Linked DNA regions of Pelodiscus sinensis. Each later gene encodes a partner of the first gene's protein in a complex. Links are inferred from orthologs where the notes say so. Each region holds a gene or a part of one and is shown in the gene's direction. Other genes may lie near its edges.

The links.
Region 2: the proteins of RAB11A (region 1) and SH3BP5 are in contact, whole or in part, in a crystal structure (PDB 6IXV), measured with the Homo sapiens proteins. The link is inferred for Pelodiscus sinensis from reciprocal best matches to the Homo sapiens genes RAB11A and SH3BP5. Residues at the interface, in NP_004654.1 of Homo sapiens: Tyr8, Asp9, Tyr10, Leu11, Lys13, Glu35, Phe36, Asn37, Leu38, Glu39, Ser40, Ser42, Thr43, Ile44, Phe48, Lys58, Gln63, Trp65, Tyr73, Ile76, Ala79, Arg82, Gly83; in NP_004835.2 of Homo sapiens: Asp42, Ile45, Gln46, Leu49, Glu50, Asn53, Thr56, Ile59, Asn60, Glu63, Thr64, Glu67, Lys240, Tyr243, Leu247, Leu250, Glu251, Ile253, Ser254, Asp255, Ile257, His258, Arg261.
Region 3: the proteins of RAB11A (region 1) and RAB11FIP2 are in contact, whole or in part, in a crystal structure (PDB 2GZD), measured with the Homo sapiens proteins. The link is inferred for Pelodiscus sinensis from reciprocal best matches to the Homo sapiens genes RAB11A and RAB11FIP2. Residues at the interface, in NP_004654.1 of Homo sapiens: Arg33, Ile44, Gly45, Val46, Glu47, Phe48, Ala49, Thr50, Lys61, Trp65, Arg72, Arg74, Ala75, Ile76, Ala79, Tyr80, Arg82; in NP_055719.1 of Homo sapiens: Glu478, Ile481, Asp482, Asn483, Leu485, Val486, Met489, Glu490, Pro493, Ser494, Leu496, Arg497, Val498.

The regions. Positions count from the first base shown.
Region 1 is NC_134724.1:5,321,895-5,329,565, reverse strand, and holds the start of RAB11A (ras-related protein Rab-11A), read left to right. Parts: upstream 1-4,664; 5' UTR 4,665-4,762; coding exon 4,763-4,802; intron 4,803-7,671. UniProt on the Homo sapiens protein: The small GTPases Rab are key regulators of intracellular membrane trafficking, from the formation of transport vesicles to their fusion with membranes.
Region 2 is NC_134712.1:181,694,535-181,701,977, reverse strand, and holds the start of SH3BP5 (SH3 domain-binding protein 5), read left to right. Parts: upstream 1-4,435; 5' UTR 4,436-4,572; coding exon 4,573-4,653; intron 4,654-7,168; coding exon 7,169-7,231; intron 7,232-7,443. UniProt on the Homo sapiens protein: Functions as a guanine nucleotide exchange factor (GEF) with specificity for RAB11A and RAB25. Inhibits the auto- and transphosphorylation activity of BTK. Plays a negative regulatory role in BTK-related cytoplasmic signaling in B-cells.
Region 3 is NC_134718.1:60,112,789-60,119,997, forward strand, and holds the start of RAB11FIP2 (rab11 family-interacting protein 2), read left to right. Parts: upstream 1-4,201; 5' UTR 4,202-5,714; coding exon 5,715-6,067; intron 6,068-7,209. UniProt on the Homo sapiens protein: A Rab11 effector binding preferentially phosphatidylinositol 3,4,5-trisphosphate (PtdInsP3) and phosphatidic acid (PA) and acting in the regulation of the transport of vesicles from the endosomal recycling compartment (ERC) to the plasma membrane.

The DNA.
Region 1 (7,671 bases):
TCATCCCTAGACTGCTGAATTCTCTGCTATTCCAGTGCTGAAGTACATACTCATCAATAATGTTACTACCCTTCATTACCTATATGAAGTATCCCATATAATTCAAACCTGGCTGCCTTCAAACCTATGTCAATGCTCCTTGTTCTTGGTTTGCCACACTTCCTGCTATCCCAATCCTGTATGCACCTTAGTCCTGGTAACTTTCTTGCTCAGGGGTAGGGAAAAACACCCTCCACTCAGAGTGCAGCAAGTTACAGCCCTGTAAAGCTGCAGTGTAAACGGGTTCCCAGCACTGTTAGCTAGTACCCTTAAGGAGGTGTTTATCCATGACCACACTGTAGTGACAGGACTTTAAACCTGAATGTATAGATGGGGATTGATACTGCAATGATTGATCCACCAGTTGTCGATTTATTATGTCTGCTTAGACATGATAAAGCAATCCATGAGTGCTCTCTCATCAATGCCAGTATTCCATCAAGACAAGAAAAGTAGCTGGCATCTTGGGAAAGCAACCCCTACTGACCTTACCGTACACTAGACGCCATAGTAAATACATCGACTTCAGTTATGCTGCTTGCGTAGCTGAAGTCACACACATTTGATTGATGATGGGGGTTAGTACAAAAAAGGCCAAAGCCTTAGATTGACATCATTCTATAGCGTGGACATTCCCTCAGGAATAGGTGCCTAATTGGTGGGTTCTCCAGAGCTCAAGCACACACAGAAAAAAAATAGAGGGTGCTCATCACCCACTAGCCCCAGTGATTCTGGCCTTGGGACTGGCCACTGATCAGCTGTTTGACAGCCCCAGGGCTGGCCGCCAATGAGCTATTTGTCAGGTGGGAGATGCTTGGGGGAGAGGAGGCAGAGAGGAGGGAGTGGCAGGTTGGCTCAAGGGAGCGGGCATAGAGAGGGTGGGAAGAGCTGGAGCTAGGGCGGAGGGAGAGGAGAGCCTGTGGGAAGAGGCAGAGCATGGACAGGGCCTTGGAAAAGGGGCAGAGTGGAGTGGGAGTCCTGGGGCAGACCAGGGATGGAGCACTCACAGGGAAAAATGTAAATCACCTCTTGTGCCCTGCGGCACCGAAAGTAATCTACCCTGCAATAAAAGACCTGAGAGTGGCACAGGATAACAGCCTTGAGTTTGCAGGGCTCTGACATTACAGTGTAGAACCTAGGCTCTATGATCTCATGAGGCAAGTAGGCCTCAGCTCCCAGGCATCTACAATGCAGTTTTCAGTCTATCAGCCTGAATCCACAGCCTGGTGTCTGAGCTATGCAGTTTTCACTGCAATGTAAACATATCAGAGGAAACTAAGTGACACGCAAGGTCACAGAAGCAGTTTGTGGTAGACCAAGGAATGAAACCTAGATCTCCTGAGGGCTGATCTAGTGCCCTTATTATAGAGCATCCTTCTTCTTTAATGGATGAACTATTATGTACTTTATTTTATTGCAAATCAATGGCTCCACTCAATCTTTTATTTTCAATGTTTCAGTGTTATTTTCAATGTTCGCATATTGGTGTGAATTTAACAGCATGTTCTTAAATAAACAAAAGATTCCATTAAGGGTTTCTTCTTATCCCAATGAATGGTGCTTGATATTCATAGTTCTCCTTAATGCCGGTGGGCTACATTTCTATAAAGTGAGATCAGAACATTCCCCTTAATTATGCAGATGTGTAACCGATCAATTCCACTGCCAAAAGCAATCTTGTGGAAGAACAAATTTTAAAGGCTCCAGTTCAATTATATGGCCACTAGTATCATTTTAACTCCTCACATCTTGGTTTCAATACTGTGCCATGGAGGTCAATGGCAAAGCTCTCACTGACTTCCACAGAATTGAATCCAATCCCTATGAAATAAGAATTTCAGGGATTGTACCCAAGTGTCATCGCTTTACATTAGACAGTCCTTAAGCAACACTCATTCTCCCAACAGCATTTTTGGATAAGTGCTCAAAACAGCTTTGCTCACCTGTGTTTTTTCTGATCCCGTGGTAAGAGGGACATTGTGGTACCAGATTTTTATTCACATCATGTAGGACACATTCAAAGCTGTTTCTGCCTTAGCCCAAGCGAATGCTTGAGTATCTTCTTCTGCTCCCTCCTGCTAAATGAGTTTCCCCCTGCCAAGCAGAACTTTATGACCTACTTCTCCCTCCAACAGTTTTTTTTTTCAGGAGAAAGACTAGATGTAAGATCTTCAAGACTAAAGACAGGGTTTTCAAAAATCTACCCAATCTTTGAACTGAGGTGATGTGAAGTGGAGCACACTGACTGTTCATTTTGTTCCCAAATAGCTCTAGATTTTTTTAACACTCTCTGTGGACACAGCACATTTCCAGAGATCCTCACACACAAGGCTCAGTCCTACTTGCTTTCCTCTTCAAGCCCCCACACCATGAGCCCTCCTCGACATAGTGAACTCTTTCACAGACTGGAGTGGTAGTTTACCTTCACTGCCCTTGCTGATGTGATAGTTCTGCCAAGTCCTGGACATCTCACTGGAGACTCCTACACATGGAGACCATTTTCTTCAGTTGACTGGGTAGAGTCCCATGCTTGGTCATACCTAGAGTACAAAATCCACCGTGTAAAACTCCTATGCCAAGTTGTTCACACCCTGTGGCCAATGAGTTACTTATGTGTTAAGCAGTGGCGGGCAGCCTGTGGCCTGCGTGTGACCCATGGGGTTCTATGTGTGGCCCATGAGACATTTTGTTTACTGTACTCCATGCACAGTTGCCAGATTCTGCTGGGTTCCATCTGCATTAGTTTTTTTCCTTCCTATTACTAAAGTGACACACAGAGCGAGGGCATGTGAAGAGGTGCATGCTGAGTGCATGCAACATTGACTGAGAGCTGTGCGCTCCCTGTACATCCACTCAAAATGCTGCTACAGTTGAATCAGCACACCATGCAAATTCTCCGAATGCAAGCACAGCTAGCAAAACTACCCTATCCTAGGAGATGGTCTTGGTTATGACAGTCTTTCTGCCCACTAAGATGAGAAGGGCCACTCATGCAGCCCACTCACTGACTTAGGATGCCCATCACTGATGAAAAGCATCCAGAGCGCTTGGTAGTCACAAGGCCAAAGAAAGTTACGTAAAAGATTCACATTTTTAATTTGTCTTTCCCTAGCAATACTTGTATTGCATGGATCCGGGTTATCCTAAGCACAGGGACTCAAAACTCCAGCTCACCATTGATTTGCTTGTAACTTGGCTACTTTCAGCCCCACTCTGTGCTTATTGCTGAGAGGTTTGTGAGCCTGATTGAGTCTCCTCGCTGCCCTAATTCAAGGCTGCTCTTTGCAGGGAGACAGCTGAACAGTTTTACAGGTGTCTCCTCCTAAATATTATTCTACACCGAATGATCCTGGTATTAATGATTATTAGTGTAACAGAAGAACTCTACTCCTTACTGGTTATTGCAGGGGTGTCCAAACTTTTTTCAAAGAGGGCCAGATTTGATGAAGTGAACATGCGTGAGGGCCGACCATTTTGCCTGACATTCTTTGAACCATTAAAATTAAATGCAAATTAACTATTTTATGCAAAGTTTATTGCAAACGGCATACTTTTCATTTCGTCACATGGATGACAAATCTAAACAGGTGTTAAATCACTCTGCCTTTCATATCTGAAGGCCAGATGAAAAAAAAATCCAGGAAGCTGAAATATGTCAGGAACATTGTAAAGTACATTGCATATTATTGGTAATAAAGGTTGTCTGTCAACTTTTAAGTTCCAAAAATATGAACAGGAACATAACACCAAGTATACATGTTGTGTCCAAATATATTTATAACTGATTTAGACCAACTGACATTAACTGAGATTTTACAATGTATTCATCTCAATACATATGGATTCGTTGGGGGCCATAAAAGATAGATATTGCCAAGTTACCTGGGGGGCCGTATTAAACCGGAACACGGGCCGCAATTGGCCCGCGGGCCGGACTTTGGACATGCCTGGGTTATTGCAACCAATAACTCCCAAAGCACTTGGGCTGGGTAAGGGACCACAGAGATCCAATAAGAATTAATGTATTTGTATGGACAACAATTAGATCTCTCGGGGAAAAGAACAGTGCAATGCCAGTAGGACAGAGCGGGAGGGTCCCACCTGCAGCTTGGAGAAGGGCGAGAAAAAAAAAATTCAGGTTCCACCGAGATTTGAACTCGGATCGCTGGATTCAGAGTCCAGAGTGCTAACCATTACACCATGGAACCGCCGTGGCGAAGTAGCGCCCGGGCGGGCTCTCGTTCTTGCTGCGGTTGGGCGGGCTCCCGCTTGGCGGTTGGGGTCCCAGCGAGGGGAGCAGCCGGGGTGCGCCCCGCCTGGGTCTGTGGGGGGCAGAGCCGGGATACAAGGGGGGCAGCCGGGCCAGAGCTCCCTGTGGCCAAGGCTACGGGCCCATAGCGCGAGGGGCCGGGGCCCCGTGTGTGTGGCGGGAGCGGGCGTTACACCGAGCCCGTGACAAGAGCCCGGCACGCGCCTGCCCCCTGCGGCCAGCGGGGAGGCGGTTGGCGAGCGGTTGGCGAGGCAACCCGCCGCTCCCGTCGGTGGGCGGGGCCAGGGCGGCGAAGCTCCTCCCCCGGCCGCTGGGCGTGGTGCTCCGCGTGACCCCGGAAGCCGTTCGCCGGCGGGTGGGGCGCGAGAGCGGAAGTGCCGCAGCGGCTGCAGGGAGGGGTCCCGGCTCTGGCAGTGCGGCGGCGGCGGCTCCCGCTCTCTGGCTGCGCGCACCATGGGCACCCGCGACGACGAGTACGACTATCTCTTCAAAGGTGAGCGGCGCGCCCGGGCCCTGCCGCCCTCCGCGCCAGGACGGAGCCTCCCGCGGAGGGTTTCCTGGGGAGCGGTCCCCCAGGGCGTGGACGAGGTGGGGGGGGGGCGCCCCCCCGGTTGAGCCGGCCCCTCCCCCAGGCGCGGACTGGATATGGTGGGGGGCAGCATTGCCCCCAACTGGGTCCGCTCCTCCTCCCGAGGCGTGGGCTGTGTATGGGGAGGCACGTCCCCCCCCAACTGCCTAGCGGGGAGTGGGAGGAACAGCCAGCCCCCCCCCCAACCGGAGGTGAGGATGTGGGGAGGGGCTTATTCTCCCTCCCTCCCCCCATTGGGCTGGCTGCTTCCCTCGAAGCGTGGACTGGAAGTGGGGGGCACATTCCACCCCCCCAGTTGGGCTGGCCCCTCCCCCTGAGGTGTGGCCTGGATATGGGGGACGCAACATTCCCCCCAACTGGGCTGGCTCCTTCTCCAGAGGCATGGGCACATTCTCTCCTCCCCCTCCCCCTCCCCCAAACTGGCCAGCAGGGTGTGTGTGTGTGGGGGGGGGGGGGGAGGAGGAATATTTCCCTCAGCTGGACCAGCCAGCTGGTTCTCTACCCTGATGTATGGACTGGGTGTGTGGGAGAATAGCCCTCTCTTCCCCTCTGCCCCCCCCACTTCTGGAACCAAACTTGTAAAAGTGCAAGATGTAAGGGTGTTCCAGTCTTTGTCAGGTCCCTAAATTTGAAATATCTATTCCTGGATTTGACTCCTCTGTAATATCTTCTGACCTCACCCTACCAGCATCATGGAGTGGGACAAAACTTATCTTGTTGGTAATGTTTGTGTGTCCCAGCATTTGATTTTGGCTGAGAGGATGTTTTATCCTGTGTGAAGTGTATTCCAGAGGTTGCTTTGCTATAAAACTATTTTGGAAGCCATTTTTGTCATCATTACAAAGCAACCTCAGTGTCTTTAATTTCTCTAAGGGTTTAGTAAACCATGATCTTGGCTTTCTTTTGTGGGACAGAGGAAGTGGTTTGCAGAGGTGCTTGTTCCTTGATTTGATAGTGTAATAAGTAATTTAATGTTCAAATTTCAGTGTCTAATCGTATAGTCAAACTCTTAAGACTGAGACCTGCTATTTAGAGCCAACTGCTTTGGAAGGAGCCTTGTGTTGTCAGGTTCTTATTGCCCAAAGAAGGCTGAATACTGACCACTAAAGATGTAGCTCCAGAAACCCTTTTAGGTTGTCTTGCCTTGCAGAGTATTGTTTTAAGTACTGGACATGTGAGCTTTGTAAGGAATGACTATTTTTGGACATGCCTACTCTAAAATGACCAATTATAACTAAATCTTGGAGCAGTTTTAATATAAAACAGCCATCATGGGCTCTTTCAGATCTTCGTACAGTGCTACTGTTCACCTCTTGAACTAAGAACAGTAAATGTGTTGAATAAAAGTAACTAGTGATTGTGTAGGAGAGTAGTCCTATTGCAGTTCACAGGTTAAACAGGGTTATTTTTTATGCTTTTCCTGGTGTTGACATAGCCTAAGCACAACTACTTTCATGCAGTAGTAAATCTTGCATTACTTGCCTCATATTGTGGTGAATCTCTGCTCCAGTGGTTGTTGTAACCATTATCTCTCACTCACTGATCTCACTTCCTGTTTTGTCACTCCATAAAGTTCCTGGAAGATGAAGGAAAAAAAATTCCTTGTTTTCCAGGATCTGGGTGCATTTTTTCTCATTTTGGTTCAGCTAAGTTTTGTTAAAGATGCATCAGAATGTAGCAAATGGGCCCTTTAACATTTATCTTTCTGAAGAATGAAACAGCAGTTGTTGCAAATGTTCACAAGTAAGATGTGCTGAAAAAACACCTAGTGAAATGGTGTGCTGCAGAACACTCAGTGAAACTTTAAAGATATCACTTAAACCACCTATTTGAAAATATTTTAGATATAGCCACTTGCTGTAATACTATAATGAAAATCTGCATGTATTGAGCCTTGGATTTAAAATATTAGTTTATACCTTGTAATTGAAAAGCAGCTCTGAAATGTGTCACAGCATATAGAGGGATGGAACTCAAAAGGGAGAATGTAAAGGTTCCCTTCCTGCCCCACCTCCCCCCATATTTAACTTAAGTGAACTTTTGTATGTTCTTCCATTTAGAAAGCATCTTTTTGCTTTTTCCCATCATTAGAACCATCTGTCAGGGCAAAGGTATACAACAAGTAAAACCAAGTTAGGGAATCTGTTTACAGCAGCAATTGTTATCTGGCAAGGTTACAATCCATTTGCCTTTTGAATTGTAGAAAAGTATATCCAATGCTCTTGTCCTGGTTACACTTCTGTTTACACTGAATTATTTAAGCCACCATCTTAAATTACAAGCACTACAAAAATTGTATTATGTGGACATATTAAGGGATAAGTCTTCTGTATGGAAAAACAAAAAAATTAAATTTATATAAACTGGTTACATCTCTATTCCAAATGTTATCTCTAGAAGAAAGAAGTGAGCATAAGGGAGGTCTTACGGATGAGGACACTGAGTTCAATCACTTAGAGTAGCATGGATGATATTTTTTATTCCTCCCCCACTCCCCTTCCATTAAATCACCAGACTTTGCAGAACAAACATTGTAGATCCTCCTCGACAATGTCACAGGCTGCGAACCTTATCTCCAAATCTGTGTGGATAATGCTGGTGTTTAGGGTAGAGGCCCACCTAGAACAGAGTCACAAGTGAGTCAGAGGAGTTGTTGCAACTTGGCTATCTCCTGACTCTGTTCAAGTGTTCATTGTGAGACTTACAAAAGTTGGGTTTTATCATTTCTTGTTGTCCTTCATGTTCCTACTCAGCGTGTTGCCCTTCGTGTTCC
Region 2 (7,443 bases), on another chromosome or scaffold:
TGAGCATTCTTTGTTTGAAAAAACCCTCTCAGATCTCCTCCCACAAAATATAAAAGTCTATGTCTGGGAGACCCAATAATGTGGTTTGGAAACTTCCTGTGAAAGTTTTCCTCTTTTATAACTAAGCCTGAACAGCTCCCCTATACAGCTGAATAGCTTCTTTATTCCAGGATCTCTAGTAAGTAATGGGGATTGTACTCCAATAATTATGATAGTAGAGCAACATAACTAGGCTGTAGTGTGATTTAGTTACTCCCAAAATAACTCAGATGACCATTGGTTCCTCCATATGTACATTGTTCTGTAACTGTCTATGAGTAAGGCATTGATACATTAAAACTGTAGTCCTTAGCTCGTGTGGCTGGCTGGTATGGAAGGGCTGCAGTTCCCTTCTGGTTCCCAGGATTTTTGACCATTACCGAGGATGCACAGGAGGACTCAGAATGATGCTCATTGCTTGCTTTCTCTGCTCTTGGTTGTCAGGGGCCTAAGTAAAGTCATGGGCCATAACACAGATGGGAGGTTGTTTTGCCCCTAGATGTCACTGGTGAAAGGCACACATGTGGTTATCCTAAACTTCTTAGATGAATTTTACAATCCGCAGTGTTGCTCCTGTCAAGGAACAGCCTGCCATGATGTGTAACCATTGATTCTCCAGCCTGCTCACTCCGGAGTCCAATTAGTAAGAAAAAACACCCCTTCCCACTGCCCTAATTACCCAATGCTCAGTTCTCACAATATTTCATTCTAAGGATCAATGTTTTTGTAACACTGATTTAACAGAAAGCAAACACTTTATGTTGTCTAATGTCTCAGTCAGTCATCTTTAGGTGTGCATATAGGATTGTGGGTGATGCATCTAGCAAAAAATCAGCATACTTTACTCTTTTCTTTAGGTTCTGACCATTAGCGTATTGTGAAGGAACACTCTGACATGGTGAAGATAATACCCTGCTGCAATCACCTGGAATTTACCTTTTGTGCCACACGGAGCAGGAAGGCTGTCTATATATGGAACATGAACATTACAAAGTTATTTCTGGGGCCGTGTTGCCTTTTATACATGTGATAGCAATTATTTCTGGTGTGGATAAAAAATACTATTCAGAAATGATATCCTGATTCTTCTGTTGATATGCATGTGCACTACACCCCTCTTCTGTCAAGTCCCTTCCTAAAATCCTACTTCTGTTTAACCATTTCAGGGATAATCTGGCAGACAGAAATGTTTGGCAAGCACAATCTTCAGTGTTTTGAAATTATCTGATCAATAGATGTATTACAGCTGCATGTAGTGTCTAACTGATAGCTGTCTGAATTGTTTTGTCTGTCCGTTTTTATTGGAACGTCTCATCTGTTAAATAGCTGAGCATACAAATGGTTTTCTTTAAATGATAATTTTACAAAATAAGTGTGATCCAAAATAAATAAAATCTAAATATTTATGTACTCAGGCAGGATGGTGATGCCATCACATAAGGTACTTATATCAATAGCAAGCATAATTTAGTAACAAAGGGACAACTTATCTTTCGCATTGTCGTTTTTTCTTTTTATTCTGTATAGGATTCTGTACCCTGGGCATCATTCTGTCATCTGGTAGCTTTCATAGGGACAGCAGGAGCAGAGACCTCACTCAGATGGCCTAGCATGTTTTCCAGGAGAGGAGAATGAAACCTAAGCAGTGACATTCCCCCATACCTAACCTATAGAAGCCTGCCCTACAGGGGGTAGCAAAACTGAAGAAGATCCATGTTAGTTTCTTTCAGTTTCCACACAACCCCATGGGGAAAATAGTAGTGGGAATTTTGGGTCTGTCAGCATTAACTCTGTTTCTGCTCTGGGCTTTGAGACAGTAGGCCAGGATGGCTTCACAGGGAGCCAGGTTGCCATGGGAATGAGAGGGCTGGATGACTGTCATGAAAGATATCTGACACAGATGTTGTGAAATCTGTGGGGTTTTTCTCTGTAGATTTCCTTAATTTGCCTCAGTAGGCATTGTGAGAGCTCAGCATTTCTTAGGATCAGGCCATAACTGTTTTTCTTTAATGAAATAATAAAATAAAAATGACAAAGCTTTACACCATACAAGTCTGTCTTGCCATCTTCAAATAGTCCAACTATGATTTGTTGCTGTGTTTGCTTTTATGCAGCGCCTCGCCTCCTGTTCTCATTGTTTTAGGCTGTTGGTGTCACTTCAAAGGTGTATGATATTTTAAAATGTTTACCTGCCCACTCTTTTTTCTTTGCTGCTTTATGATGTATAAAGAAGGCTTGACCATTATTTGTAATGTCTACTTTTTCACCTTTTAAATCTCAGGAAAATTATTTTGTATTTTTTCTTGTTTTGGTGGAAGAACAGAGAATGGGAACTTGCCCAGCCTTCAGTTATAGGAGTGGTGAATCTCTCACAAAGAAAGTGACTTTCACAAGATCCATCCATTTTTTAAGACTCTGCAGGCTGTAAAATCAAAAGGAAATTAAAGAATTAGTTACCTTAAATTTGGTTAAGGAACTATGTACTTGTGTGTGTGTAAAGAAAGACCCTGATTAACAAGCAGAAGGAAGGCCTTGAAAATAATAAGGGGTTGTGTTCACATACAACACTGCAGTGACACAGCTGCACCACTACAGCACTTGAGTGAAGATGCTGCTGTGCTGATGAGAGAGGTTTTACCCTTGGTATAGTTAATTCACCTGCCAGAGAGTCAGTAGCTTTGCCAATGGGAGATGCTTGTGTGCCACTGCTTCGGCTATATTTACCTGTGCCTCAGCAGGTACCAGTGATCGCAGCTCCCAGCTGGCTGTGGATCCCTGTTACCAGCCAAAGGGAGTGGCAGAGTGGGACACTACTTCCCACAACTCCCATTGGCCAGGAGCTGGGATTCCCCAAAGTCAATATAGTGGTGGGGATCCACCAGAGGCTAACTATGGTGAACAGCATCCAGCCTAGGGGCCTGTATGAGACGTTAACTTTACTGTCTTCTCATTCGAGTTAAGATGCTAATCCTGCAATAAACTCAGGACTAAGGGGCTGTGTCTACATTGGCACCCTTTTCCGGAAAAGGGATGCTAATGAGACCAGTCGGAATTGCAAATGCCCCAGGGATTTAAATTTTCCCTGCGGCATTTGCATGAACATGGCTGCCGCTTTTTTCCGGCTCGGGGCTTTGCAGGAAAAAAGCGCCAGTCTAGACAGGGATCTTGCAGAAAATAAACCCTTCTCTGGAAGATCCCTTATTCCTACTTAAAATCAGGAATAAGGGATCTTCTGGAAAAGGGTTTATTTTCCGCAAGATCCCTGTCTAGACTGGTGCTTTTTTCCGGCAAAGCCCCGAGCCGGAAAAAAGCGGCAGCCATGTTCATGCAAATGCTGTGGGGAAAATTTAAATCCCCGGGGCATTTGCAATTCCAACTGGTCTCATTAGCATCCCTTTTCCGGAAAAGGGTGCCAATGTAGACACAGCAAGGGAGTAACTAATCAAATACCCAACAGCTCCCCACCATGCTTTGAGCTAATAGCTTTATTTCCACACACCACCCCCGATGAGGTTCCTTTTTTTGCTGACGCAATGAGGCCACACACTTCGTTTGTTTGGGTGGAGTCTGTTTGTTTTTGCTGCATGCACCAGATGCAAACTTGGCTGGCTCAGCTGAGGCGCACTCCAGCAACCGGGCTTTGATTTGATTTGCCGGGCTTCTCAAAGAGCGTTGCAGAAAACCTTGCCACCCGCAGAACTTTCCTCAGCCCGCTGCTGGACAAAGACCCGCTGATTAATTGGCCCTTCCCTGCACCTGCAACGTAACAGCATTGTTTGCGGTCCGGCTGATGTCACAAATAGGTGCCTTTGCAAGCGAGAGGCGTTGCAAAACCATTCAGATCCTGTTTTCACCGGGAAGTACTAAATAACAAAACCCCAGCCCCGTGCGGACCACGCGTGACAGGCACCGCTGTGACACTGGCCTTCCAAGGGTGCTGCAAGGCTTCAGCTGCGGGCAGGAGAGGGGGGGGGGGTGAGAAGGTGTCACTGCTGCTTTTGGACTAACTCCCGCTGGGGCTGCCCTTCCCCATTCAGGGCTAATCCCGCTATCGCCAGCAAGGGGTTGGCGGGCTGGGCTCTCTTATCGCGGCTGTGCAGAGCCCGGCCCATGGCGGCGATAGCAGCTAGGCTCGGGCAAGCTGGCCCGCCCCGCCCGCAGCGCGGCACCTTTGCAAAGCACCCCCTTGCCCAGGCCTGCTCGGGAGCTTGCCACGTGCAAAGCAGCCGCACAAAAGGGACGCGAGACACAGCAGGCGGCTGCTCCGGGCTGTCAAGCAGCCGCGGGGCCCGGCATGTCTAGAGGGGAGGAGGAGGGGGAATGGGGGCGGGGAAGCTGCTTTCGCCCGCTGATTCGGCAGCCTGGCGCGGGGGGGCGGGCTGAGGCCGGCCGGCGGGCGGGGCGGGCAGGCTGCGAGGCGGCGGCGGGCAGTGGGCGTGGGGAGGCGCTTTTCCTCCGCCCGGCACCTCTGCGGGGCCCCTTTCCCCGCGGCCAGCTGCTGCTGCAGGCGGAGGCCGGTCCGAGCCCGGCCCCATGGAGCCCGCGGGCCGGAGGAGCCGGCCTGAGGAGGGGGATTTCCCCGAGGAGGAGGAGGAGGTGGATCCCAGGATCCAGGTGAGCGAGCCCCGGGGATGCTGCTGCTGCGCGCGGGGAGCCCGCACGCGCGGGGCGGACAATGCCTGCGCCCGGGGCCGCGGGCCTCCTCGGCGGGGTGGGGCTGTCTCCGCGCGGCGCTGCGGTCGCTGCCTCGCCATCCCTGCACGGGTCTCCCGGGGTGCCCCTTCTGCTATCTCGCCCCTCCCCAGCGGGGCGGGCAGCCGCTGTGCCTCTGCCTGCTGAGCTCATTAGGTTTCTTCTGGGGTAGTTCTGCGGAAGGGTGGAGGCTGGAGCACCCGGTGCCTGGCTGCTCCCCTCGGGAAAGGGGGTTTAAAAGAGCCCCTTTCCCCTCCCCCCGCTTTGGGTCAGTCCGGTGCATGCGCTAGAGCCGAGCCAGCTGCCGCCTCCGATTTAACCCCCCCCCCCCCCACCCGGATTTGGCAGCATCAGAGCTGGAAGGGGGGAGAGGGGGCTTTTCTGAACCTTCCATGACTTAAAGCAACCTACCTGCTTTGCAAACCCAAGGGGGAACCTCCTGTGATATTCTGCACATTGCACAGGCTGCAAGAATACCCGAGGAGAGGTTTCTGTTCTGTGTGTGAGGGGGGGGCGGGGGAGGAGGTCTGCCTGCCTGCAGGCAAGGCAATGCAACTGTGATTTTCACCAATACCACTCATACACGGTATTTCTCAAAACGCTATACGATAGGTACAAGGCCAGAGCTGAATCATTTGTGGCTGTTGCTTTTAAGTAAAGTTGGAGGTGGGGGTGGGGAACAAAACACGGTTGAAGCTGATACCTGAAATAAGGTGGTGGTGGTGGAGGGTGGGTCGTGGTCTCAGGTTGGTGCCTGCAAAGGAGCAAGGGCATTTGTGAAGTTCAACTAGCATAATTTTAAGATGTGAATACTGGTTGTTTACGATTATTATATTTTTCCATTAAAATGTTTGGTACCATGACTCTCTTCCTTTCATTTAAATTAAAATTCTGACCATTTTGCATTTTTTGGGGGGGAATTTAAAAAAAAAATCAAACCTTTCTTTAAACCTAGGAGGGGATTACATTATTAATAGTTTAACAAAGGTATGATTTTAATTGGAAGGGGAAACACAGGCTTGAAATTTAAAACCTTGCTTTCCTTTTGCATGTGCTTTTAATATGCTCCTGAATCTCTCTCTTTATAACCAGAGTTCTCTATTTTCTTCCCTTCACAGTTCAAATTCATGCCCTGACCAACTTCTTGACGGAAGGGTCAGTGTGGCCCTATCCTGGAAAGATAGGCAAAAAGGCTTAATTTTATGCACCAAGTATTCCCTTAGTGGGTTTTCTGGCTGTGTGTAAAGTTAAGCACATGTAGGAGTCTTTGCAGGGTTGAACCTAGACTTGTAATTACTCTTATCTTGTATCTTGCTCTTTGCTGGAGCTGTAGAAATTTGTGGCAAAATTTTCAAATGTGGGTGCCTAAAGATAATCCTGATTCTGTGAACACTTAATGTTTAAGTGGCCTAATTTTTCAGCAACTGAGGCGTGCTAGCTCCCATTTACTAACATTTTGGATTACTTTTTATTTGGAATATGGCTCCATTTGTCTAATCAACACTGGGAATCTGACTGCATGCTGTTAATGAAATTGTTTGTTTTCTTACATCTGACTAAATGTCTGTTGCTTTAATTTTTGTGGGACAAAACCTTCTTACCTTGATAACAAAAAAGTAATTTAAATGTCTATTTAAAAACCATTATTGGAAAAATGTAAAAGTCTTTGAAGTCGTAGAAGTTTAAAATCAAATCTGACTTGTGTGGATAACACAGCTATATTATTAGAGCTAACATATATTTTAATTGTGACCAGATTAACTAATGTAATCTGTTGGACTCAATAGTTGATGAATTCCTGGTGGTGGTCCTTTAGTATGATTCAACACTAAGGGCTCAATTCTGATACGTTCTCCTTATGCAAGACAATTACTGTCTTGGCATGTGACTGTTTTTGTTATAGTGTTAATGCAATATATTCTAATCCTTGTTTTTGTGCCTTTAGCTATGTTTATAGCTCTTTTCCCTACCACCATGAAGACAAATGGCTTTGTCTTAAACTGTCACACTGGGAACTAGCTGACATTAGCCACATTCCTTTATGATACAGATTGTATGGAATATTTATTAATAAGAGTAACCCAAAGCAAGAAGCATATTTCATTAAAACTAGAATTTAAGTGACATTTCTCAGTGTTCTGCTACTTAAGAAAGAGACTTGTAAAGCCAAGAAGGGACCATCATCGCTTAGTCTGACCTCTGGCAGGCTGTGGGCACAGAATCTCACCCGCCCACTCATGTAATAGACCCATAACCTTTGGCTGAGTTCTTCCATATGTTGCATATCTCTGTTTTTCATTTAACATTCCAGCCCAGTGCCCTTATGTGCTTTCTTTGAGGGATGCCAGCAAGCACTTAATAGTACAGTACTTCTCTTTTCTCTGTCATGTTGATGTCTAATTTCTCAGAGCATACCTGTGTTTTTGCTCTTTTCTAGGGGGAACTGGAAAAGTTAAATCAATCCACAGATGACATCAATCGAAGAGAAACTGAACTTGAGGTAAAGAGCAGCACCTCTTAACTTCCTTTTGTGTAAAAACAGGTTTCTGTGAGAAATCTCTTCATTTTACTTGGTGCAGGCTTATCTGGTTCTTGGTGGCAATTTTACATCTAGTATCTAATGAATGACTCTGGAACAGTAGATATCTGGGTTAGGGATATAAATAGTATGGTCGATTAATTGATTTACCAATAAGCAAAAACGTATAGGTA
Region 3 (7,209 bases), on another chromosome or scaffold:
AAGAATAACAATTGGTGTGACTTTAAAAATGAACAATTATTACAGAATTATAATGGTTAGCAATGTTGTGGAGAATGAGAATGTCTGTCAGGCTACGTCTACACTCATGGCTTATTGCGCAAGAACATCTTGCGCAAGTGTTCTTGTGCAAGAACTCTTGCACAAGAAAACGTCCACACTGCCATGTGCGAGCTGTGTTTTTGCACAAGAGCGCCCATGGCAGTGTGGATGCTTTCTTGCGCAAGAAAGCTATGAAGGTCATTTTAGCCTTAGGGCTTTCTTGCACAAGAAATCCCTGCTGAGCGTCCACACAGCCCTCTTGTGCAAGAGCTCCTGTGCAAGAGGGCTTATACCTGTCAAAAAAGAGCGTAGCTCTTGAGCAAGGAGCCCCCTTTACCACGCCGTACTGTAAATTTACTTGCACAAGAGCAGGCGGGCAGTGTGGACGCTCTGCAGATTCTTGCACAAGAATGGTCATAGTTGTGCAAGAAGCCATGAGTGTAGACATAGCCTTATTGTTTATAAGTGTCATAAGGTCCTCAGTTTACCTGTGTGATAAGATCCTCCCTGCCATTACAGAGTTAACTAAAAGGAGGCTGTAAGGAGGAACTCGCCAGAAAACAAAATACTGACCAAGACAAGGAAGTCTTGCCCTGTAACGATTATAGTTACAATTAAAACAGTCTTAATTCTCACGTGCACCATCTTTCTCTATTAATTCACTCTTCTACATGTGCTTGGCCCAAGAGATCAGTATTTAAATAAATCTATAGGATTCCAAGAGTTGTGGCAGAATTCTGTAATTTTCAGTAATTTTTAATACCCTCTCTGCTCTCACCCAGGGAACCGACAATGCATCTCTAATTCCACATCAGAGTTGACACTTCAGCTGCCCCAGCAAAAGAAAACACTCTCCTTTTACACTTGGCTGCTCTGAGACCATTCCATTCTTCTGTTTCATTTCCGATTGCATGCAGAACAGTACTTATTGAAGAGGATCAACACATTTGTCTGTACTTGTAGAGGTAAGCGAATTTATTGTGGCAAATAATGTATTTGATGAATGAATTTCTCTATGGTTTCTGTTTGCAAATTGAAAAGTTTGCAATTTTTGCATTATTTGGAATTGTTTGCCAGGTAATTTTGGTGAGAAATGTTTGGTCAGCAGATCACTGGTACCTATCTGCTTGAAACTTTGGATTATTGGGTGATACATGTTATTTCTGAGGGGACACAGGTTACAGGGTATACTTTTATTCCTGATTGGATGGCCAGCGCTCTTAGTGTCTGTACAAATACTCAAGCTTCAAATTCTGTTTCTGTTATCTATACTTGTGAAAGTTATAATCAAGGTGTTCACAAGATCCCAAAGAATCTTCTCCCTGCCTCCAAATCAGCCAACTTTTTGCAAAATAGCATTGCCATAGTCTTCTCATCTTACCCTTTCCCCTATGCGTTACCTATCAGATCCTCTGCTTTTTAATATCCTTGATGAATTTCCTTGACCATTCATCCCTTCATGTTCCTTATGTCTTTCCATCCCCACTTAAGTATTTGCCATATCTAAGAGATGATCACCGGAGATGATGAAGGGGGATGTAGGAGAGGCAAAGAAGGAGCATGTGTGTGGAAGAGCTGCTCATCCTGAACAACCAATGTGCAGCCTTAATTCCAATGTCAAATATATTGCACTTTAACTAATAGATATGCAGGATAATAGTTGTAATTTACACTCCAAAATTAATACCAAATTTATTACAATAAATGTTCCAATAATGAACATGGACGATCCTTTTAACTTTTTTTTTCAACATTACAAAAAATATCTTGCAGCTTACACCAACAGAAAACTACGTACACAGTGATTTATGAAGGACACACCAACCATGTTTAATCATCAGTACAAATAGATAGTCTACAGTCAGAGTTCAAGAGTACCAGTAGTTGGTTCAGTATTGGTGGGTTTGTGTTGGTAGGACATAGTTTAGCAACCAAAATGTGTCTGTCAGATATTCAGTTTAGCATCCATAACATGTCTGCATGTGTATTTAGAAATATAGCTAATATCTGTAGCACACAGAAGTCTCCTGTGGGATAATACCATTCAAATTATATACAGTAGAACCTCAGAGTTAAGAACACTACAGGAATGTTTGTAACTATGAAATATTTGTAACTATGAACAAAACATTATGGCTGTTCTTTCAAAAGTTTACAAATGAATATTGACTTAATACAGCTTTGAAACTTTACTATGTGAAAGAAAAATGTTTTTACCGTCTTAATTTAAATGACACAGGCACAGAAACAGTTTTCTTACCTTGCCAAATCTTTTTTTTTTTTATAAACTTTTCTTTAGTTTTTAGATTATATTTAACCCAGAACTCTACTGTATTGGTTTTTATTTGTTTTGTTTCTGCTATTGCCTGATTGCCCACTTCTGGTTCCAAATGAGATGTGTGGTTGACTGGTCACTTGTAACTCTGTTGTTCATAACTCGGGTTCTACTATATTTCCAAACAATTTATACTTATTTTTGCTAATTAATTTAAATTAAATGGCGTGGTGAAGGTTGGGAAATGAGATTTCAGAGTTTCTTGAAACAGACTGCAAAATCTTGAATCACAGGAGTGAAAATTTTGAAAACTTCCTTTAAAATGGCAGACATGCATGACAGGTTTGGACTAGTTGTACATCTAGACTTGTTCACCATGTGTGGACTCTGATTGCTAACGCAGAACTGGTGACATATTGGGTAGTGTCAAAATGCTAAGACAATCTGAATGATCTATATATCAAGAAATTGTATTTTAAATGTTTTTATTTAAATATGTAGCATGTCTCCTTTCAGTTGCAAGAGTTTTTTTCATAGAATTATAGAAAGAACAGATAGGGCTGAAAGGGTCCTTGAGAAGTCATCAAGTCTAGCAAACTCTACCAAGTCAGGAACAACCTATACCAACCTTGGAAGGTGTTTGTTCAACCTGTTCTTAAAGATCCAATGATGAAAATTCTACAACCTCTCCTGGAAGCTGGTTCCGGCACTCAACTATGCTTGTGTACTGAAAGTCTTTTCCTGGTATTGATCCTACATTTTCCTACTTACAGCTTAAGCCCATTATTTTGTGTCCTGTCTTCAGCAGGCCAGAAGAGCAAATTATCATTATTCTCTTGAATAAAAGTGTTCCATATATTTGAAAACTCTTAATAGACTATCTGTCCCCTACCACCCGTTTTCTTTTCTTACATTTCAAACATTATTTTAAAATTAAGCACAGCCTGGAGTCTCTCCTCTCTTCCAGAAAATGGTGCTTTCAGCTTCAACCCAAGGCTGTGTCTAGACTGGCCAGTTTTTCCAGAAAATCAGCCACTTTTCCAGAAAAACTTGCCAGCTGTCTACACTGGCCACTTAAATTTCTGCAAAAGCACTGACTTCCTACTGTAAGAAATCAGTGCTTCTTGCGGAAATACTACGCTGCTCTTTTGCGAAAAGGGGCCAGTGTAGACAGCTCGGATTTGTTTTCCGCAAAAAAGCCCTGATCGCTAAAATGGCGATCTGGGCTTTTTTGCGGAAACGTGCGTCTAGATTGGCACGGACGCTTTTCCGCAAAAAGTGCTTCTGCGGAAAAGCATCTGTGCCAATCTAGACGCTCTTCTCCGAAAATGTTTTTAACGGAAAACTTTTCCGTTAAAAGCATTTCTGGAAAATCATGCCAATCTAGACGTAGCCCAAGATATTGGGGGTGGAGGGGTAGAGGGAAGGTGCAGGAGATTGGAATTTCTTCCTCCCCTGGTTTGAAATAGGAGGCATTCGAACCCCAGCCGCCCATGCTTAGAGGACCCCTACTGCACCCCAGTGATGGCTTCTTGTGCCTCTAAAAATAATAGGGAGTTTTCTTTCTTTCCCCCTAGCCAAGATTAGGGGGCTTTCCTCTATCTTCCCACTAATAGTCCAAGGTGCCCCCTCACCCCCAGGAGCGGGTTCCTCTATTCTCCCTCTCCTCCGATGTTGGGGTGAATTCTTCTGCCCATAAATAAGGGATCCGTCTTCTCTATGACTGCTCGGGAGTCCCCCCAGGGTGAGGGGCCCCGCTTCCCCCGCAGCCAGGCGTGAGCGGGCCTCGCTCCCTGCAGCCAGGCCCGGAAGCTCCGGAGCAGGGTGGGGTTTGGCGGAAAGGCTCGGGGCTCTCAGGAGCCGGGCCGGATTGAACCCTGCCCCCTGCCCTCTGACCGCCGCGGAGGCAGCCGCAGCGGAGGGAAGGCGGAAGCGGCAGCGCCGGGCTCGGCAGCAGCAGGCCGAGCGCCGCAGACTCTGCGGGCGGAGGGGGGGCGGCGTCAGTGCGGGAAGCGAGCGCGCCGCGAGCCGCCGGGCACGCTCGTCCGTCCGCCGCCGGGGAGCCCAGCCTGGCACCGCCGCGCTCCAGGGGCCGCCCTTCGCCGCTGGGGACGGAGGCGCCGAGGCTGTAAGGGGCCGGGGGAGGCCTGCGGGGGCGGGGGCAAAGCGACCCTGGCCAGCGGCCGGGGGGAGGGAGAGGACCGCAGGGCTCCTCACAGCCGGGCAGGGAGAGGACCCCAGGGGCAGTCTGAGGGAGGGTCTGAGCGGGGAACCCTGGGGGCTTCCCAGATTTGGGAGGGGGGAGTCAGAGGGGACCCTAGGGGCTTCCCAGATTTCGGGGGGTAAGATGGTAAACTAGAGGGTTCCCAATTTTTTTTGGGGGGGGGTGGTAAAATGGCACACTAGAGGGTTCCCAGATTTGGGGAGGTAAGATGGTAAACGAGAGGGTTCCCAGATTTGGGGGGGAGGGTAAAATGGCACACTAGAGAGTTCCCAGATTTGGGGGGGGGGTAAGATGGTGCACTAGAGGGTTCCCAAATTTTGGGGGTTAATATGGTACACTAAAGAGTTCTGAGATTTGGGGGGGTAAGAGTATGCTAGGGGGTTCCCAGATCTGGGGGAGGGAGTAAGAGGAGACCCCTAGGGATTTTCTAGATCCACGGAGAGGTGGTACAAAGGGGGCTTTGCAGTTTTGAGGGGAGGACTAAGCAAGGTGATCCTGGGCTACCCAGCACCCAGTGGAACATGGTGGGAGAGGAGAGTGCTATGAAGGGGACCTAGGACTGAACATGCAGGGCTGATCTATATGGGAGGGTATGTTGGGGCTTCTGGGATGATGTGCGGTAAGGGAGGGACCAGGGAGTATTTAGCCCTGGAGGGAGTTTGCGAAGCAGAAGAGAGACAGGCTACAGTTGGTTACAAACCTTGAAACCTCATTCCTTTATTTATCTCACCCTGGGCCCCTTTCTTCTTGCAATGAGGTAGGAACAGTACATTAGAAGGCCTTGCAGGGAATGGGAAATTTTAAAGTTCAGGGTTGTCTTTACAGGAGTTGGGAGTTGGGGGGTGTTTTTTTTTAATGATGTGAGGGGGGAAAACTGAGTAAAGAAGAGTTCATTAATTGTTGTGGAAGAAAAAGAATATATGAGTGATTTTTTTCTATTTTTAAAATTAGTAATAGAACTGAAGGTGTTACTTTTTTGGAGGGAAAATCTAAGCAATGGTTAGTGTGTCTCAAAAAAACAAAAACAACCAAACTCAGTACTGAGAGAAATAACGCTGGGACTTTCATAGATATCCCTACTTTAAGTGCACTTATGCAGTAACTAGAAGATTTAGAAACTTTATTGTGTTGCTACAACTACTGAACTCTTCAAAGATGATGTTGGCAGAGCAAGCCCAGACGTGGTTCCCAACCCACGTACAGGTTACAGTTCTTCAAGCCAAAGATCTGAAGCCAAAAGGCAAAAATGGCACCAATGATACCTACACTATCATACAACTGGGCAAGGAAAAATACTCCACCTCGGTGGCTGAGAAGACCTTAGAACCAGTCTGGAAAGAAGAGGCATCATTTGAGCTCCCTGGATTACTGATGCAGGGGAATCCAGAGAAATACATTCTTTACCTGATTGTCATGCACAGGTCGCTGGTGGGCCTGGATAAATTTTTGGGACAGGTGGCAATAAATCTTAATGATATATTTGAGGACAAGCAACGAAGAAAAACAGAGTAAGTGATGTTTTGTATTACAGTTTTTTGGGTTTCTTAAGTATGTGGTTCTAGATCAGAAGCCTTATAGCTACAATAAAATTAATTGAAACTAATAGGTATAATAGATTATGTGGCTCATAAGCCTCTGTCATACAATGAGCTCTTCAAAGGAGTATCCTCATTTAAATCAGTAGGTTTTCCTGTGATTACACATGCCCATCTGGACAGAGTAGGACTATAGATAATAAAATTATCTACAATAATTACATTTTTTTTAACATTAGCTTCTTACAGTCCATTTTTTTCATACTCATCAGTTGTAAAACCATTTTCAACTTGTGCAACACAATTTAGACTATATATTTCCCAGATCTGGGAGGAGGAGAGGAAGGGGAAGTAAGTCTGAATATAGTCCAACTCAAGCAATGTCTAGTATCAACCAATGTAATGTAGTGTTAAGTGTTCATATTCTGCAAAACTGACTCTTAAATTTTCCGTATTATTTAGTGCTGAATGAACGTTGTCTAAATTAAGGTTTACCACTAGTGTACTGTGTACTTTTCTGATTAGAGTTTTAGGTATTGAGCCTGCAAACTGTTCTGCACTGCAGGCCCAGACAGAGAAGCTTGTTAGGGTAAGGTTTGGGCTTTAGCGATGAAGTGGAGTTGGTCTGTTCTTATTAGTCCAGTTCCTAGAAGTTTCTTCCACTTTAGTAGCCTTCAGCAGCAGATATTCTTTTGTTAAATAAAACTATAATTGACCAACAAATTCTGCAACTAGAACTTAAAGGAAAGAATGCAGAAGTTAATAAATATCATTTTGCATAGTATGTGTACTATATATTTAAAGACTGAGTATCCTAAGACCTGGTGAACATCCTCTTTTTTTTTTTTTTTTTTTTTTTTTTTTTTGTACTGGTCTAATTTTTTTGTATTAGGGTGTGTGTTTTTTAACTGACGTAGTTAAATTGGTTCAACCCTTGTGTGGACCCAATTATATTTGTATAGTGTGGGTTATTTTTCTAAATATACAGGAATAAATTGTATTTGTTTAAGTACCTTTGTACTGATACAGATATATCTACATTAGAGGTCATATAGCTTTAAATGGACCAGTCCAAACGAGTATAGTTAAATCAGTCTAAAAACAGTGTGGCCAAG